2 linked regions of the Neodiprion lecontei genome follow. The protein of the gene in region 2 purifies or fractionates together with the protein of the main gene of each other region. This does not show direct contact. Links are inferred from orthologs where the notes say so. Each region holds a gene or a part of one and is shown on either strand. Other genes may lie near its edges.

Region 1 (9,780 bases), on a different chromosome or scaffold from region 2:
TAGTTGATTGATTCATTTGTTTTCTCTCTCATCTTTGGATTTCCAGTCTATGTTAATTCAAAGATATTACGTCTATCAAATATAAGCAAGACTCATAAATAGATCAACTTCCAAGAGAGAAAATCGGTAAACTTAGTTGTTAAATTTGTGGGTGGAGTACAGTATTGAAGATAATTATGCTCATCTGATAAAAGGTCAATTTCTAAGAAAGTAGAGTCGACATTGAAAACTCATGTATGGATGACACCATTGTATGCAATCTCTACATTTAAATTATATGCATCTGATTAATTACAGGTGATGTTTTGAAGACGTTTAAATTTCGTAAGACATTGTTTGAGGGGATCAGTTGCTTTGTAACAATAAAATTACGTTATCAATAAAATCTCCAGGGCACAGTAGGGTTGTGCGAGATAAAAATTCGTATGCAGTGAAAAGCTTCTCATAAAAAGATGATACAATGCATAAAGGTTCAGTATTGGATAATTTGGATAAACTAAAACTAGTAAGATACGATATAATATCACGTGATCTGAGCCATATGTGCAAATAGGATGCATAATTTGGAGGTTTGGTGCCGAAATCACGTTGTGTAAGTATTAATTAGCGGAAGTTCTAAAACTGGTCGAAAAGTTTAGAGGCTAGCCACACTAGGTACTATAGTTATCGGTAAACGCCGGCGGCATTCGAACAGAAGTTTCCGATTGCATTCAAAACGCAGAACAGTTGGGATGAAAATACTGAGAGGTGAAAATATGCAATTGGTGAAATGACATGATATGTAAATAACCGAAAATGAGACGCTAGTGAAAGTTATTGATTTATCCAATTACCCTTGTTTTCCCCAGTGTTTCGATCCTTAACAACCCAAATATCTTCAATTTTTCCAAACTTTTCGAACGCCTTCCTGAGGTCATCTTCCTCCAAACTTTTATGACAGATTACAAACAATCTTGAATTCGGTGGGTCGTCGTTCTTCGAACGCGGATCCGACTGAGAATAATACGCCTCGCGGTCTCTGTGATCAGCCATTTTACTAGTGAAATGTGAATATACTGGCTGCGGCTGCTGTTGCCTGCCTTCCACGCTGCCAACGAGAACTAAAATTCAACGACTTCAGGGCCGACACATCAAAGGCAACACGTAACGGTACAATTTATGTGACACATGTGTTACATGAAACGTGATGTACCATCGCTGAGTCTACGACTTCGGCTCCGTATTTCATCCCTTCAATACCATTCACGCATCAAACTGCCGACAGTTTTTACAACGGTAAACCGGAGATTGTTATCACTTACAATCAGTTAAAGCTGCCGGGTACCCGGTTTGCTCGTGACAGTGTTGTGCGCGTTATGTGCCATCGATTACAGGTCGTGTAATTTTGGTACCGGTCAGAAATATGCGCAGATATGGAATAATTTATTATATGTACTGTAATGAAAGCGATAGAATATACAATAGATGGTAAAATTTAATTACTTCTCTTGCGTAGATACTTAATGAGATTCGATTCTTCAGCTGAAATTAGCCTTATTACACCTAGGTTAATTATTCTTTCAGCGAACTTATCAACTTGTTGCTTTTCTCATTACAAAATTTCGGGATTTAGACTTATACCGTTATTCGGCGAAATGATTGTGTCATCTGTATGCGCGCAACGGGGCTTATAGGCTGGACACGCAAAAATGTTGCAGGGCGTAGAAGTAGTAAGAATAAAACAGTTTTATTCAGTTGAACAACGTTTCGATTAAAATTTTCACTTTTTCCGCTTCCATACGCTGATCTGATTGACTTTAACTGATTTTCGTACTAAAATTATATTGCAAACAAATGTTTCATACATTGATCTATTTTGTTACAATATTATAATTTAAATGACTATCGCAAAATGTACAAACTTATGAAACAACTATAATATGTATTCGTAATGTATTCGGAATGTTGCAACAGTCTTAAGAGTAATAAACGATACCGTATAAATATTTCCTATGCCGATTATTTATTACTCCAAGTGCCCTAAATGTAGCCGTTACAATCCAAATTTCATACAAAGTGCACTTGATTTGATTTACGACGAAAAAAAAAAGATAGAAATTTGTATCCTAAAACGATTGCAGAAAAATAAAACCACCTCATTTCAGCAATCGTAACTGGTGACAAACCCGCATCCGTAAAATGACAGGGAGAATAAAAGCTAACCGGTAATTGTCTTGCATGACGGAGAGCCCTTTCTCTTTTGGTATGAACAACTACCAGCGCTGTTCATAACTCGTTATTTACGCGTCATAGGTAGACGCAGATACATTGCCTCCGTGGCCTGTCCAGTTAGTATGAACAAATTTTCCTTCCGCGCCAAGTAGCTCATAAGTGTGGGCTCCAAAGTAATCACGCTGAGCCTGCAGTAAGTTTGCAGGAAGACGCGCTGTTCTAAACCCATCGTAAAATGCTAAGGCAGTCGACAGAGCAGGAGTCGGTATTCCAAGAGTTACAGCTGTTGCCACCGTCACTCTAGCACTCGCCTGGCACTCCTTCATTGCTTTCGCGAAGAAATCATCAAGCAACAGATTGGTCAGCTTTGGATTCTTGTCGAAGGCTTGCTTGATGTTTCCCAAAAAGGCGCTGTAATCATAATCCATAATACATTGATAACCATTTTCGTACGTTTACCTTCATTTAGGATGATGATTTTTCTTTCAAATTGGATCGGGCCAATTCGTGGCATCTACAGAGAGGGTGGCAATCAATTAAAGAATTCTCTCACCTTCTGATGATACATCCACCTCTCCACATGAGCGCAATTCCACCATAATTCAAATTCCAGTTGTGAATTTTAGCAGCTTCTCTTAGCAGCATGAATCCTTGAGCATACGAAATGATTTTCGAAGCATACAGCGCTTTCCGAAGATGTTCGAGGAATTGCTTTTTATCTCCTTGGTAAACAGCGTTTGGACCCTCCAAAACGGTGCTAGCTTCAATCCTCTCACCTTGGAGCGAGGAGAGACACCTTGCAAACACTGATTCTCCAATTAGCGTGACAGGAATCCCGTAATCCAAGGCAGCGATAGCCGTCCACTTTCCTGTACCCTTCTGCCCAGCTGTGTCTCTGATTCTTTCGAGAAGATAGCCCTTCCCATCCTTGTACTTCAAGATATCTCGGGTAATTTCAATTAGGAAAGAATCAAGCACCCCCTTGTTCCACTCGCCAAAAACGTCACTCATTTCCTGTGGGTTCAGACCAAGCCCGTTTCTCATGATGTGATAAGCTTCGCAGATCAGTTGCATGTCTCCGTACTCTATACCGTTGTGAACCATTTTCACAAAGTGTCCAGCCCCTGTCTCTCCGACCCAATCGCAACATGGCTCACCGTTACTCTTGGCGCAGATCGACTGAAATATTCGTAGTGTATTAACATTTCGAATTACTGTCCCGAATGTAGTTTATATTCATGATTCTCTGAGTAGTGACAGCAATAATTTTATGACAAAGAGTCAAGACGCTAGACACACAAATTTTTTTGAGGCAATTTCCAACTATAAATAAAGCAATATCTATTCGCCTAGCCCTTGATTGGCAATTACCTGGAAAATAGGCTTGATATGAGGCCATGCTTTGGGATTGCCACCTGGCATGAGGGATGGCCCATACCTGGCCCCATCCTCTCCTCCACTAACGCCACTGCCAACGAAGAGGATCCCCTTCTTCTCCAGTTCCTCCGTACGCCTTTGAGTATCTTGGTATTCAGAATTACCACCGTCAATAATGATGTCTCCCAATGACAAAAGTGGTACCAGTTTATCTATAAACCCATCGACAGCTGGACCAGCTGGAAATAGAATACAAGTGTTATATGTTGTATTAGCTGTATTAACTGTTATGTGCTGAAGGCTTTGAAGTTACAGCAGACATTTTTTCGCACAATTTAATATTTCATAGAGTTTGATTGGTACCGAGATTTAGTGATATTAAAAGCCGGTTAGTGCTTTATTGTTACAATAATGATGCTTTCTGCTTGCTGACGGAAGAATTTCGCACATATGATTCGAATTCAAGGTGTATAAGTTTCACCTCGATGGGTATTTTTTGAGAGTTTCAAGCAATCTTACATAACAATCATGATGTAACTGAAAACATTCTAGCCATTGAGATTACTAAGTACATTAGCATTATCATAATTTAAGCTCGATACGAATTGTAAATGTGACTTTGTGACGTCATGTGCATATATGTAGACAAAAAACAACGTTTTAGCGATATCCTTAGAATTCAAGTGATTTTTAGGCTTGAATGTCATCAGCACTAATGTTTTCAGAACTACGATTACTGCCTTTATTAGAGCTGGTTATATGTTCATAATTTTTCCATCATGATACTAAGATCTGTTATAAAAGGATACGAACCTTTGACTAACAACATAATACGACGTGGCAATTTTAGCTTGGAAACCATTTCCTCCAAGCTAAAGGCACCCACTACTTTGGTGCCTTTGGCTTCATTTTCTAAGAACGATTTCACCTTATCTGTCGTACGATTGTAAGCGCAAACGACAAACCCATGGTCGTTCATGTTCAGGATCAGGTTTTGTCCCATAACGGCAAGACCGATAAGGGCAATATCAGCGACACTGTAAAAAGATGAGAATGACAAGATTGAGCATGAACAAAAACTGTACATTTGTGGTTCATTCGGCATTCAACAAGATATGTAAGAAAATTAGAACTTTCAAAACAAATTCAATCAAAAGATAGTGTAAAATTTATTCAATAAATGGTGATAAACAATTTTTGTGTTCTACGAAAATTTCTAATTGTGAGTAGTAGTAACATTGCATGGCAGATAAATTACTGCATTCGTCATTGACTGCCCTTGAGGTAGCCCGGATATTACAGTGCTGGACTATGACCGACATTTCGGATATACGATTATCTTTGATTACTAGTAGAACATGGCGTTTCGTAATGGTGTAGCGCAACATGAACAGGAACTGTGATTCGCGCGGGAGGTAAATGTACGGAAAACGTTGCATTAAAGTAGGTCAAACATGTGAAAGACGATTATTAAAGCTACGGTTCGCGACTGCCGCCGGCTATTAAATGCATGATCGTGCACTCCGATTTTCCTAGTAATTACCTGTAGTAGCAAGTAGTAATCGTTACTTACGGCTCTGTCATGATGGTGATTTTTCTGTAGAGAGCACGAAACAGGTTAAACCTCCGCCGAAGCAAGTGTGTAACTAGCAACAAGTGGCGTATACGACGAGCGTCCGTCGGGCAAAGGACGTCTTGGGTTATGAACGGATCGGGCCAGAGCCGAGTTAGTAATTCAGTCAGACCACCGCGTAAGAGCCAATCGGCGAACCAGCGAGGTCAGCGTTAACTTTCAATTATCTCACCGTTAACTATCGAGCCACGATTTGTGAGAGTGATTACGCCATCAGTTCCTATCAAAAATCACTTCCAAGTAAAATTTGAAAGTCACGCTCCACAATTACACCCGATTACGCCCGACATCGATTAGTTGACGAGTCAGTGGGTCGGGAGAATCGATTGTTGGTTGATCTCACGCACTGGGTGCGATTTTCTGAAATTTCCTAACTCTGGTAGATAACACTTCGATTTTACTTTAATACTTCAACAATTGGATGAAGAGATATTAACTCGTACTATACTATAGGCTTACAACAGTAGGTTAGGATTTTGACAGTTCAATTAAGTCTGCGATGTCATCAATGTAAGTCGTGCAACCGACATACGGCGACATCTGCAAGCATGTGTCGGCCAGGGTCGATACGTGGTGCTTTCTTTTTCTTTGCTTTTCATTCGTGTTAATACACCAACGTACTTATAAATACGCAAATCTTGAACCTTTTATTTTCGACTTTCAATTTGTACGATCGTTTTATCTTGTTAACGGTGATTCATCGCTGAGCAAAAGTCTATGAAAGAAGGTGGCAACATTTGAATCATCGCCTGGCGTGCTGAGCGATGGCAATCCAGCAACAGACTCGTCATTTGAGTTGTCTATCACAAGGCGCTGCCCACACCATTCAACCATAATTCGCGTTCCGATTCTTCGTAAATTCATTTTGGAATTTTTATTCTTAAAAAATGTACGAACGCCCTTTTTGTACTCAGGAAATGAGTAATGGAAATAACTGAAATGACGTAACATGTTTTCTCATTGCATTTCACCACATTTGCCACATCCAATGGAAGAAAGATTTCTGCAAACCGAAAACCGGAAGCAGGTTGACCAGATGGTTCAATTCCGAGGAAGCATTCTACCAAGGTGACAAATTTCTGATAATCAGCCGTGTACGTCAGCCGGAATCATCAGTGCGTAAACGGTATATATGCAGACCACATAACGCGAGGATTACGCGGGTGAATACATTTCTCGCGTCTGCGCACAGACTACAAAGGTCGTGGCCACTCAGTGATCAGAAACCCTGCATAACGTCATCGTCCGGAGTTCTTCCCAAAGGGGACTGGTTGTTCTTTTGGGTCTGAGGAAGTACAAGAGAAAGTGCAATATGTCGGGGTTTACTTTGGCCTCGTTGAATTAGAGCATACTTGCGTATTTTTTCACGTTTAACGTCATTCGTATTACTCCTGTTGATATTTGTATACATTTGTGACGTGTTCCGCGTCTCAGGAAGGTTGAGAAACGGAGATTAATACAGTTTCGTCGTGACAGCCAGCCAAAATAGTTGCACATAACCCTGTGAATATGAGATATAACTCAAGATCCGACGCCACGAAGTATCTAGTGATCAGTTTACGTGATTGAAAGATAATCTCGCTGTAAATATTGAGTAAACACAAAACCTGACGCTCAAACCTTGTACAATATGGGACTTTTATTCTCGAAACTGTGGAGTCTGTTTGGGAACGAAGGTAAGCAACGAAATACCCAATGCCATTGCCAATTCAATTCCTTTGTGTCGATCACGAGTCGTTTTCGTGATTGTAAGTAATAATACACCACATGTCTACAACGAACGACCCATTTGAGACACTTACAGATATAAATCGCTATCAACTTTCGTTCAGAATCTACGTGTTTCTATTTCTGACACACCCTTCACAGGGACAGATAATTAAACTGTCTTTATTCCTTGCCCGAAAAACCTCTTGTAAAAGCAAAAAAGCAGTGAAAATCAACTCCTCCAAATGCCATTTCTACTACGTATCCGTAGTGACAATATTGACTTTGAATTTTGGAAATGTGATGACTCCACCTTATTTTTAATCATCCGTTTGTCATTCACCTCTCGCCAATATGATTATCACGAAAGTGTGGTCACGAATCACTCGCCAAATGAAGAAATGGAACGATCAGAAACTCTATTTTCACAATATGTAGATCTATAGAAACTTGGCATATTATTTATGCGACGAATACTTTCTTTCACAACTTTCACTAGCGCCACAAGGTCAGGCTATTTGCTTGTCACTACGTATTCACCCAACATTATAATTTTTGAGCAGTAGATTATAAGATTGAATCTATATTATTCTTGCTTAAAAGCTCACTCTCGTAATTCTTACAATTGTTTATAAATCGGTTTTCATTTTTTTCCTTCTATCTTGAATAAATCCATGAAAGTAGTTACTAACTTATGTTGTTGCGAATAGAGTAGAATACAAGCTATTCGTTTGAAATCGAATGTATGTCCTTGTGTTACATTTTTTAGACTTTTTTTCGTTTTGTTACATACCAGGCCTATTATGTTTTACCTTATCTGCCAGGTGCACAGATGTTGGTGTATCAGAATAGACCCTGAAAAACGTGTAATCATAAATATGAGACGGTAGTTGACCTTTATTTCTAAGTTCTCAAATTACTATACCTTCTGTGTTGTAATTGACTGCTAATCATGAATTGGTTTACGATACAATTAATTCTACTTTAATTTTTGAACTATGGCTTGTAAAATCTGTCAAGTCTAGGACATAAACAAATAATTAATTATACATTGTTGGTTTTATTTCAGAACACAAAATCGTAATGGTTGGACTGGATAACGCGGGTAAAACAACGATATTGTATCAATTTTTGATGAACGAGGTTGTCCATACGTCACCAACAATTGGTTCTAACGTCGAAGAAGTTGTTTGGAAAAATATTCACTTTATAATGTGGGACTTGGGTGGTCAGCAAAGTTTGCGAGCCGCCTGGTCAACTTACTACACAAATACCGAATTCATTATAATGGTGATCGATAGTACAGATCGTGAAAGATTAAGCGTTACTAGAGAGGAACTATATTCCATGTTGAATCATGAAGAGTTGAGCAAAGCCAACGTTCTTGTCTATGCTAATAAACAAGACTTGAAGGGAAGCATGAGTGCTGCCGAAATATCCCGGCAGTTGGATCTTACGTCGATTAAAAAGCACCAGTGGCACATACAAACTTGTTGCGCACTTACAGGAGAAGGGCAAGTGTTTCATGGAAATTGTTTTTATCCTTGACAATCGGATCTTGTTTACTGAGTTTGTTTTCAATTTTACACAGAATATGTCGTAGATATAATATTATTTGTATTTTTTTTTTTTTTTCAAACTAAAGGCGATTTTTCGTATGGAGTGAATATTGCCAGATGAATTAATTCTGTACATAGCTACCATGTGATACAATATTTGTCCTTGCATCTTTACAACCTTATCTTGGCTATATATCAACTTACCTGGTTTTATGCTTTGCTTACATTAGCATAGGTAAACACTCTGTGTTCGATAATAATGAAAAAAATTTTTTATAGGCTATACCAGGGTCTCGAGTGGATCGTTGGTAGACTGAAGAAGACATGACCCAAATCGTGAAAGCTTAAACTGCCTTTGTCAATAAAATATACAGAATGTAAAATATTCGAAGGGATTTAGGTATTGTGCCACTTTGACTGCTGTACTAAATATAAAATGACAATTCTTATACCTGAAAGGTTGAATATCCAGCCTTAATGAAATACGTATGGAGTATAGTTGTCAAAGTGTATTTATATCAGTTGGTAAGATAATGGAAAGCAGAAAGTTGTAACAAATGTAAAACCGTCGAATTGTGGACACAAAGTAAAATCATATCTGGCTTGTTGCGCTACTGGTAATGTGTAAAGAAAAAAAAAAAAATCACGACGATATACTTTCAACAATTTGCTATGAAACTATTTAATCTGCTATCTTGCAAAAAATAACGGCACTACCACATGCTTACATTTTATTCCGACGAATCCTACAAGATTTATAATCTGTAGAGGATTTTTTAGTGCTTCAAGTATGCAAACATGTTGTAAGACTTCACAGCAAGGTTATTCGACAAGCCAAGCTAAAACTTTTTCCTGCCAGAATACAAAATGTTTTTGTGATAAATCATGATGAATTGAATATTGAAGTGGTTGTGAGATTAAGGAAAAAATTATTGTCATCTATTTTAAGCTTGATTTTCTTTATCCCTGATACTGTAGAATAAATAACAATGTTAAGAAATTTTTATGTGCCAGCTGAAAATTTTGGCTAACTACTATCAGTGGTATTCATTTATGTTGTGAATGTAAATGATAATTTTTGATGCAGCTATTATTATAATTTCGCATTTTACCGAATATAAGTCGTTTTTTTTTTTTGTTTTTTTTTTGGTGCTGGGCATTAACATTTTCACGATACACACGTTCGATTGGGTATAAAACGAATTTCATCTTCGAAAGTAAACAGTTTAAAGATTAGGGTGCATGAGAATAATTTGCCAAAAAAAAGTACTTCAGCTCCAATGAACACAGTGT
Region 2 (10,037 bases):
ATTTTTCGTAACGTAAACAAATTCGCGATGAAGAAGAAAATTGAACGAAAGACGGAGAGAGAGAAGAAAGAAGAAGGAGAAAAAAACAAAAAAAAAAATACGCGCACGCTTCGTCGGCGCTGAGAAAAAAGCAAGAAGTCGAAGCGAATGGGAAAAGGGAAATCTAACGAAGGAGAAAAAAAAAAAGTTTCGCCATTTATTCGTTTATCGCACGATATACGCTCGATTTGGAGAAACTCTTTCGGGGGTAGAAATGATCTTTTATTTTTTTTCTCAGGGTCGTTCATTTCGATTGCTTTGTTGTCCCGAGTTTTAATCAATTGCACAGGCATTCGTTCGTCTTCGAAATCACGTTTGCTGGAAATCGTGCTGGGCAAAGGGCGAAGGGCAAACACGAAATGGGGATGTTTTCCCAATCGGCATTAGATTGATGTCACGGACGCGTGCCGTCGGCCTCTAAATCCCGTTTGTCACTGCACGCATGGCGGAGGAGCAAACATTTTACGTCCGCACGCGCATCGAGGGGGACAATTTTGTTTAACAAATATTCTCCGCACCGTGTTTAATCGCAAACATACCCGCAAGCCATGTTCCCGTGGGATTACACGCCTCGACGCGATGTTACAACCCTGTAACGGTTATATCGGGGCAATCAGCCTCTCGACCGAGGACGATCTATTTATCAAGTTGTTGTACCTGTTCGTGATTATTTTTCTGTAGAAAAATGTGAATTATAAACACGCGGGTAGTTTTCCTTTCGCTTTTCAATAAAAATAGGTCGAAAGTTGCTTAAAATATGATTCAAGTTTCATTTGTAAGTTCAGGTTTGTCTAATTTTTGTATTTTCAAAGATACCTCCCAGTAGCTCACGAAAGTACAATAATTTTACAGACAATACTCAACGTACGATTATCGTACGAGATAAAATTCATAAAATGAATCGATTTGTTTTTTTTTTTTACGAACCAATGTCAAACAAGCGTACAAATTAATTGCCTTGGCAAAATGGAGGGTTGGAAAAATACGACAGGTGGGTATAATAACATCGTTGGAAAACGGAAACCACGTCATCGAACGGATGTGTATAATGACACAGGGTGCACGAAACCCCATGATAGCTATGTATATATGTATACATACATATGTAATATATAAAACGTCGGCAATGCCTGGAACGTGCCTAAATTGAGATACTCTATCGCTCCAGAGATTGCGGCGAGCCACTTGACCGTGTAAAAGAGAAAGGGAATAAAGAGCAGACGAAGAAAAGGAAAAGGGAAAAGGAAAATGCTGACAATTGATTTCATCTGCTTTCATGGCGTTCGACTAATTCGCTTTCCTCAGCTCGAGAACAGCTTATATGAGGTATCGAGGCTTCGAGGAGTGTATAAAAATTTAACAAATCCGTTCAGGAACATAATCTCTTCATTTTTGAAGAAAGAGACAGAGAGAGGCGTTTATACGTCCTGGGACATACTTATGAGGTCAGATGGTTATTAAAACACAAAATTAAAATAAAAAGTAATAAAAAGGTGAGTGAATAAATAAACAAATGAATGAGGTGAGAATTATTAAAAATCAAAAAAAAAAACTAAAAAAGAGATAGAGAGAGATCGTGAGCAGTATTTAAATTCGGTAAATGCATGGGAAAATAATAATTCATATTTATAATTATTCAGCTTAAATACGTTGCTATGATTATTATGTTTAATGACAGCTCAAGGTCTCGAGAAACATAACAATTCTTAGCTTTTTTGATCAAGCTAATCAAACAAGAAAATGATTTTTCTCGTCAATAAAAGAAGATCGATACAGATTGGCAAAAAAGTATCGCATCCTCGTGTTTTTCGTTTTTACAGAATTAGCTGGTATTCGACAGTTTTTCGCCAAAGAGTTGAAGACAGTGAATGATTTCACAAATTAAAAATACAAAAATTGAGTATCGTTTCGAAAGACAATAAATTTCTAATTCATTTTTGTCATCTTTGTATATTAAACTATAGTCGGTAAACAAAACCGTAAAATGTAGAGCAGTTCCGAAATGGTTTGAGGAGTATAAAATAAAAGAAAAAAAAAAAAGAAAAGGAAATCTTATCGCCGCACTTTGAAAGTGACTGAAATTCGAATGACGGTAAAAGTACAAGTTGAGAACCGTTTGCCGCTTTAACCTGATCGCGAGCGAAAATATCACGCTGGCGCCGTCTGTCAACGAGATATGGAACTAAATCCACGTTGTAGAGTTGGAAATACAGTTGCCTGCCAAAGGCTTACTCCGCCGTAGGTTGAACGAGCGGGCCGCCGAAGGCATTAACTATTTTATAAGATAAAAATTGATCTCCTCGGAATAGAAACGGCTCGGTGTAATTAAACACCTTATACCCACCTGCGGGGTTTCAACTTACCAGACGAAAGGTGCGTTGAACCTACTCGCTTGCGATACGCAACGAGATACCGGAAATAGACGCTGCAACGAAGTATGTAACGAAATGAAAACTGCACGTATAATTTAGCGCAGCGGCGGGTGAACCGAAAAATTAATGCGAATTGTTGTTACACGGATGCGATATCGTTTGATGAGTAAATTTTGAAATTCGAGTGGGAATTTTTTCTGTTGCAAATCTACTCACACTTGCAGGGGCTGTTCTTCTTCCTTAGGGTCTGCATCAGGCCACCGGCGTAGCGACGTCCGTTCAAAAAGCCTGCAATTTTTGCGTCTCGGTGTTCCTGAGCTTGCGGTTCTCTCTTTTTTCACGTCCCTAGTCTCCTCCTGTTCACCGATTCATCGCTAAGCTCGATACCGCAGGTCCGAGAGCCCTGAATATCCTCGGAGTTTCGCCGCCTTAACCGTTGATCGCGAAAAGGGTGAGGATTCGCACGGTGTGTCACAGGCACAATCACAATAACCATACCGCGTCACAACCACCGAGCGAAATTTCAACCCCGTGGGTAAAAACAATCGAGGAATATCGCGCGCGGCTAAATCGCGGGACTTTCGCTCGCGGGGCCCAAAATTTCGGGCTGGCCTGAAGGCCCGATAATCAAGCCCGCGGCACGGCTGTATAAGCGTGTGGAAATTTAGGGGGATCTGACAGCTGCCTGCCGGCACTGGCCTTCCTTCCATGCCCGCAACCCCATTGATCAATAATACAGTCGAGCGGTAGTACCGAGCGGATCCGTCTCGGCATGCACGGTATAATGTTCGAACCGCGAAAGCGTCGCCTGTCCAATCCGCGTCTTCGACGATTGTTCGCGAATTTTTTTCCGCGAGTGAGAGAATTCGAGAGCGTGGATCAGCCGCGGCTAGAGACGAATTCCGCAAGATATTTCGGGGCGAGACGCCGCGCAAGCTGATTGCACCGGGAAATTACAAAATGGCCACTGCTTTGGCCCACGCGGTTTATTGAAATCAATTGGTGAAATAATTCGCTCCTATACACACCGCATCGCCGTAATACCGTTGCGGTGAATTCGACCGCTTAGCGATTACGCAACGCGGCTACGTTTGTCCGACGAGGTGCATTGAAAACGCCATCCGAAGGCGCGCCTTTTCTTCCACACAATTTCAAATTGCGTTCCAAATCACGCGATCCACGCCTTCTTTCAATTGTATACACACAGGTATGCTTGAGGTGGGTTGTTTCATAGACTCCCTGCACGCTGTCCGATTTATTTCCTCTCGCATTGTCGAGTCAACCACGGGAATATAATCTCCCGTTTTATCGCTCCGATTTTTCGCTAAATCTTCACGTATGCGCGTCTTTTTTATCCGTCGAGGAGATAACGGAGTAGATCCGTCGTACGCAGGTCACGTATAATACGTGTCGGTAAGTTACCGACCGCGTCTAAAACGGCTCGATCATCCGAATATCAACGGACCGCAAATTTTTGATTAAAAAATGGTACAACGATAACTTTAAATTTAATATATTATTGCCAGTTAGTAAAAACGAAAAAAAAATTAATAAAAAATAAAAGAAAAACACTGTTCAATCAAGTTTAAAGTAAAAAAAATAAGCAATGTTTGAAAAACCTTTTAAAACCACGACCAGGAATTCATCAGCTGAATTTAGCTGCCGGAATTTCCGCAACGGAATTCAAGGCGCTAGCGTAGCCGTGAAGATACGTATGCGAAACACAGTAAACGACGTTTCATATTGGATAGTGGGGAGCCTGCGTGGACTTTGGACCTTTGATGGCTTGTAATAAGACTCAACTTCTCTGATTAACGCGTTAGTCCAACGTAGGTCAGAAAACAGAAATCATGTCGATCGCCACCAAAGGTACGATACTTTCTTTTATTATATCAATTTCGGTCAAGTCCCCAAAAATTGTCTGAGTTGACGAATTAGGGCGTTTCGGAGGTTCTTCTCAGAGCCACTCGAGTGGCAGACTCGTCTCGACGGCTGGATTAACTCACAGAACTGTTCCTTTTCTCTGTTGGCTCAACGAGTGTAAACTCACCATCGAGACTCGTTTCGATCTTTCTATTTTTCATTTTTCCGTCACTCCCACTCATTGTCAGTCGAGGTTCTTCGATTAAACCTTTTATTCCTTGACCGATACGCGGAACGCGTTTGAGCCAATATTTTGACCGCCCGATTCGGAAGCATTTCCATTTTGATCAAGTGAGACTTGTTATTTGAAACTCATTAACTGTCATTCAAATTGTAACGTAATCTTGGCGTGACTTTATTTTAACTCGAATGATATATTATGTGTAATGTAACATGAGTTTGCGCAATGTTTCGAACTCTAGACTATGGAATTTTATATTGCGCCACAGCAAACGGAACGATTTTTTTTAACTTTATTATTTCATTCAGATTCTTACTTTACTCCAATTGACTTCAGACGCGAACTTCCAGAGATAATTTTGATCAACCTCACATTTTATCAAACGTTACGTGTGAAACGTATTATTCGAAATTGTGACCACGAGTCGTATTATTTGTTTAAGCTTCGTTCCGTTTGCAGATGTTCTTGTGATTCAATTTTAGCACCATTTTATCCACACCTTTTGCACGTAATAGAAATAATAATACACGTTGAAACGTATCGTGTATTGTTGTAACTACTTTTATTATCTAGAGTATTTAATTATACCCCGTGGACTTTGCTATGCTGAACGCGTTCCGATACTAGATATCAGAGATTATTTTCAATAACAACATAAATTGAAGATAAAAATTGCGTCAATGATTACACGTTCAAATTTTACAGTTCAAAATTGAGTAATCTGAAGATATTATTTCACATATTTGCGGAGCAGCGATCGTTCAATTTTCATTAATATTCAAACGTTTGTAACCGTTTGTTTTTAAAAGTAAAATACTACCGCATCCGTTCGATTTTTTTATACCTGCTAAAATTCACTTCGATTGTCGAGCTTGTGATTAAAAAAAAAAAAAAAAAAAATACCATCCAATCGACTACTCGGAATAACTATCCTCGTTCAATTTTCAAAATCGACAAAGCTCTCGAGATCATATATATTAATCAATAACCGTATTATCGTTGTTTAAGGAATATTCATCGTCGCCGCGAAGCGAACCCCTTTCGGGACACTGGGTGGTAAATTCGTGAACAAGTCTGCGATCGAGCTTCAGGAAGTGGCTGCAAAGGCAGCGATAACAGCAGGTGGATTGAAACCTGAACAGATCGACAGTGTCGTAATCGGAAACGTGTTGGTGGTACGTAAAATTTGACTCGCGAATGTTGCGTTGCGGTAAACGTTGTCTCTCCATAAAATCATCTCTCAAATCTCATTCCAACACGTTTCCAGAACACATCGTCTGACGGAGCATTTCTCCCAAGACATGTTCTCCTCAAAAGTGGAATTCCTCTGGACAGACCCGCCCTTGGAATAAATCGTCTATGCGGATCCGGATTTCAGTCCATTGTTAACGGAGCTCAAGTGAGTATATAAATTACGGTGTTTCAAAATAAAAAATAAATTTTTATAAATTAATTCCTAACAATTCACTCTTTCGAACGGTTGATGGTTATTTGAGGAATAAATTTATCATAAAATGATAAGAGACCTTTTTTGAAGAGCGTTCAATTCTCTGCAAAAATATTTTTGCGAGTTTTCTGTACGAAGCATCGTTAGCCAGTTATAAAAATCAGGAGGAGCAAAAACCATTTTTCACATGTCATTCTTATGGAAATTGGAATGTTAATATTAAGAGCTCGAATTATAACAGGTGTATTTTTATATCTAAATGAAACTTTTGACCCTTTGGTAAGAAAAAATTTAAAAAAATTCTTTTTTCAAACACTCTGATATAAATGGAGTACAAAAATAAAGAGATAGAAGCGCAAACTCTGATTTCGAATCGTTTTTGGTATTCAGAACATCCTCGTCGGAGATTCCCATGTAGTTCTCACCGGCGGAACGGACAACATGAGTCAGGCACCTTTCATCGCTAGGAACATCAGGTTTGGGACAACATTGGGTCAAAATTACTCACTGGAAGACAGTCTGTGGGTGGGATTGACCGACACGTACTGCAAAATGCCGATGGCGATAACTGCCGAGACTCTCGGCGCTAAGTACGGAATAAAGAGGGAAGAAGTCGACGCGTTTGCTCTCAGAAGCCAGAAGCTGTGGAAGGCGGGTGAGTAGAGAATCTTCGATCGTCAAGATCGAGGAGAAGCGCGAGGTTGGAGTTAGCGACTAATCGTCGTAGAAAAGATCCGCAATTTTGCAAAATTATAACGACCAATTTGAAGGGGTTGGTTGAGTTTGCAGAACAGAATCGTGTTCTCGTCACATTGCAGCCTCTTTGAAAATTGAACTCAAAGGATAATTGATGACTTGAGGTGTGATTCTTTCACAGCCAATGACGCCGGGTACTTCAAGGAAGAATTGGCCCCTGTCACCGTTCAGGTAAAGAGGAAGGAAGTCGTCGTCAACGTCGACGAACATCCTCGCCCTGAGACAACGCCCGAAGGACTCGCCAAGCTGCCGACTATCTTCAAGAAGGACGGACTCGTAACTGCCGGCACAGCATCGGTGGGTGAATTCGATTTTAGAAGTTCTCTTGAAGAAGGATAATCTTCACCGGCATGGTTGATGTACAAGCTCATTTTCTACCGAGTCTAGCGCCGTTTCGTTAAATGTTTGAATCGTTCTTCAGGGAATCTGCGACGGCGCTGGAGCCGTGATTGTGGCCAGTGAAGAAGCCGTCAAGTCCCAGGGTCTTAAGCCTTTGGCCAGACTCGTCGGCTACAGCGTCGTCGGTGTCGAACCCAGCATCATGGGTATCGGACCTGCTCCGGCGATCAAAAACCTTCTCAAGGCCACCGGGAAGACGTTGAACGACATTGACATTGTCGAGGTAATTTTACCCTCTCAGTTTTTTCCAGCTGGTCATTTCCGTGGAATTTCTACGGACGTGAAATCATTAGTTTCAATCAGAAGGGACCGAAAATCATGAAAAATTCGTATTGAAGCTTTACATCTGATTCTAATCGTTCCGCATGATTTGTACTTTTCGTTATCAATCACTAACCGAGTAAATCGGTGATCTCTGAAAGTGATAATACCGTTGGAACAACTATCCGAACAGAATCGTACTTATCGGGGGAAGGGTGGGGGGCAACTTGGGCGGTTTAAATCATTACTCTCAATTAAAAAGCTATAAAGACTTTCTGGTAACGGCTAGAAAACTAATTTTTATTTTCTACGTAGAACTATATTTTTCGATTGTGGTGAAAAATGAAAATAGTTAAGCACTGAGCGGTGACGGGAACTAAAAATTTCTCTCGAAAACAGATGACTGTAAAAAAAAAAAAATGAAAATGAAAACAAACAAACAACGTTTTATGAATCTAAGACTCGCGTATCAGGAATGGAATGTGAAATGGTATGACAGGTTCTTTGCCTTTCGTATAACCGAGCGATTCCCATGATCAATGCTTTTCCTTTTTGCCAGATCAACGAAGCCTTTGGTGCGCAAACTTTGGCCTGCGCCAAAGACCTTGACCTGGACTTGAGCAAGCTTAACGTGAACGGCGGTGCCATCGCCTTGGGACATCCTCTCGCTGCTTCCGGATCGAGGATCACCGGACATCTCGTTCACGAGTTGAGGTGAGTGATCGACGTTTAAACGTAGACTCGGCATTTCGATCGGTATTACGTGATACTGACCAAAGACTAATTTCTCGACTTCCTTACTTCTGCAGGAGAAGGAAGGCCAAGTTTGGAATCGGTTCGGCGTGTATCGGCGGCGGACAAGGCATTGCTCTTCTCATCGAGGCTGTTTGATCGAGTGTTTGATTTTCTTTAGGAAAATGCAATGCAACTACTCTGCACTAGCTGAAAATTTTTGATAAATGTGATCGGTTGAGTTATTGAAGCGCAATTTATACATGTTATACACATAATATAGAACTGTAATTTTTATACTTCCATTATACGATACAGTAACCCAATAAACAATGCCAGTATATAAAGCGTATGAAATTCGTCAAAAAAGAACGTTTTATTCTGTAGAATAAACGTGCAGCACCTACGTATTTTATTGCGAAGAATGTCCGCCGTGATTTCGGTTTATTAAACGTTTTTGGTGGACGTCTTACGATAGTTGTTCATATGCAAATTTTATACGTTTGAAACCAAACATTTATAAATCGTATCTCAATTTGTTGATAAAACGTATCGAAAATCCGTTATTTTAATATTTATGGTAATCGTCTAATATTTGGATATTGATGACTACTAAGAGACGTTTCGCAAGTACGTTTTAACACTCAAATTATGAAGGAAATTTTTTCTATTAAAATGTGTTGACAATGTCCGTTTAACTAACGTGACAAAATGTTTTCTGTTAATGACGCTTTAATCTTTCATTATTTATGTCTAAACGAATATTATACAGTGTTAAAAAACGTTTTTAATTGGACCTCTAGACTTGAATACATAACGTATCTTGGATGTGTAATTGAAAGCGTATATAGTACACTGCTATAGAGGAAGATCATTTCACGTTAGCTAGAAACAAGTCTGGGTTGAGTTAGAAAGCGTACGAATTTAGTTTATATATGTGAATCGATTTTATTATATCTTTGTTAGAACGTTACACAAATATCTTATATCTATAAATACTCATTTATCAAAAAAAAAGGTACATCTTGTAGCTCATAGACACAGCTCAACCTACACTATACTTTCGTCTTCACGGTAGTTACAACTAACAGAAAACGCTAAGAATATTACACTTATATCAGAAATATTTATATGCCTGTATGATTTGTACTTTTATATGACTGTTTTTAAAATTAGTTGACGTTTACCACAGTTTCTTAGCCCTTCTTTCGTACATAGGCATGCCGTGATCGAGCTAGTTTTAACCAGTCTTTCACGGCACACGAAACACTGGTTTCGGTTGCATCACCAATTTCCTTCTTGCCAAGAAAGGTTTGTTTCACAGCCTCTGAGAAAAAATACATCAAAAGGAAGGTACAATATCACGATATTGATAACTGATAAGGAATAATTTCAATGTAAATTGTGATGAATCTCGAATATATTGGGAAAAAAGTTAACAGTTTGCATAATTTGAATAATAATGTGTGAATAATATTGTTTTCACACGATAAATCCAAGTAATAACTGTTTCTCGAAAATTTCATGAATTATTCATTACCGTAAACAGTTTCCATTGTCAATGTCTTTTGAAATGGGACTTTGTCCCTCCCTGCCCAATTGAATTGCATCGCTAATTCGTTTGTGAGTAGTGACCTCATTATAGCCAACACACATTGGCGACCGCTTGTCCCTCCAACAGAAGCCAGTTTCCCGGTCTGCAACAAAATACTAAAATGAATGAATGTCGAATTGAATTCAAAATATTCTTACTGTTATCAACATCGATAACAATTTTGACTAGTTGGAGATTGTCGATTCCTAATATTTTTTCAGCATTTTTTAACGTTAACCCTCTCGATCAGACCGAGACCGATTTCATGTTGAATGAAAATCTCTCACCATATTGATATTTCGATGGGTGAAAGCAGTTTACCTCAGGGTTTAG

Evidence for each region.
Region 1: the proteins of 3-ketoacyl-CoA thiolase, mitochondrial (region 2) and 6-phosphogluconate dehydrogenase, decarboxylating fractionate together in Homo sapiens (co-fractionation; 3 studies listed by BioGRID). This does not show direct contact. The link is inferred for Neodiprion lecontei from reciprocal best matches to the Homo sapiens genes ACAA2 and PGD.

What each region holds. Positions count from the first base shown.
Region 1 is NC_060263.1:36,906,460-36,916,239, forward strand, and holds 6-phosphogluconate dehydrogenase, decarboxylating, read right to left. Parts: upstream 5,673-9,780; 5' UTR 5,173-5,672; coding exon 5,162-5,172; exon of another isoform or gene 5,132-5,161; intron 4,626-5,131; coding exon 4,402-4,625; intron 3,828-4,401; coding exon 3,583-3,827; intron 3,391-3,582; coding exon 2,765-3,390; intron 2,623-2,764; coding exon 2,280-2,622; 3' UTR 1,708-2,279; downstream 1-1,707. Other genes in the region: RNA-binding protein 45, read right to left, coding at 834-1,032; ADP-ribosylation factor-like protein 5B, read left to right, coding at 6,852-6,897, 7,998-8,442, 8,767-8,815. UniProt on the Homo sapiens protein: Catalyzes the oxidative decarboxylation of 6-phosphogluconate to ribulose 5-phosphate and CO(2), with concomitant reduction of NADP to NADPH.
Region 2 is NC_060264.1:4,773,206-4,783,242, reverse strand, and holds 3-ketoacyl-CoA thiolase, mitochondrial, read left to right. Parts: upstream 1-4,136; 5' UTR 4,137-4,261; coding exon 4,262-4,280; intron 4,281-5,523; coding exon 5,524-5,690; intron 5,691-5,782; coding exon 5,783-5,914; intron 5,915-6,352; coding exon 6,353-6,617; intron 6,618-6,839; coding exon 6,840-7,015; intron 7,016-7,139; coding exon 7,140-7,340; intron 7,341-7,937; coding exon 7,938-8,092; intron 8,093-8,187; coding exon 8,188-8,269; 3' UTR 8,270-8,431; downstream 8,432-10,037. Other genes in the region: protein disabled, read right to left, coding at 2,628-2,664; uncharacterized protein LOC124294757, read right to left, coding at 9,307-9,437, 9,651-9,807. UniProt on the Homo sapiens protein: In the production of energy from fats, this is one of the enzymes that catalyzes the last step of the mitochondrial beta-oxidation pathway, an aerobic process breaking down fatty acids into acetyl-CoA.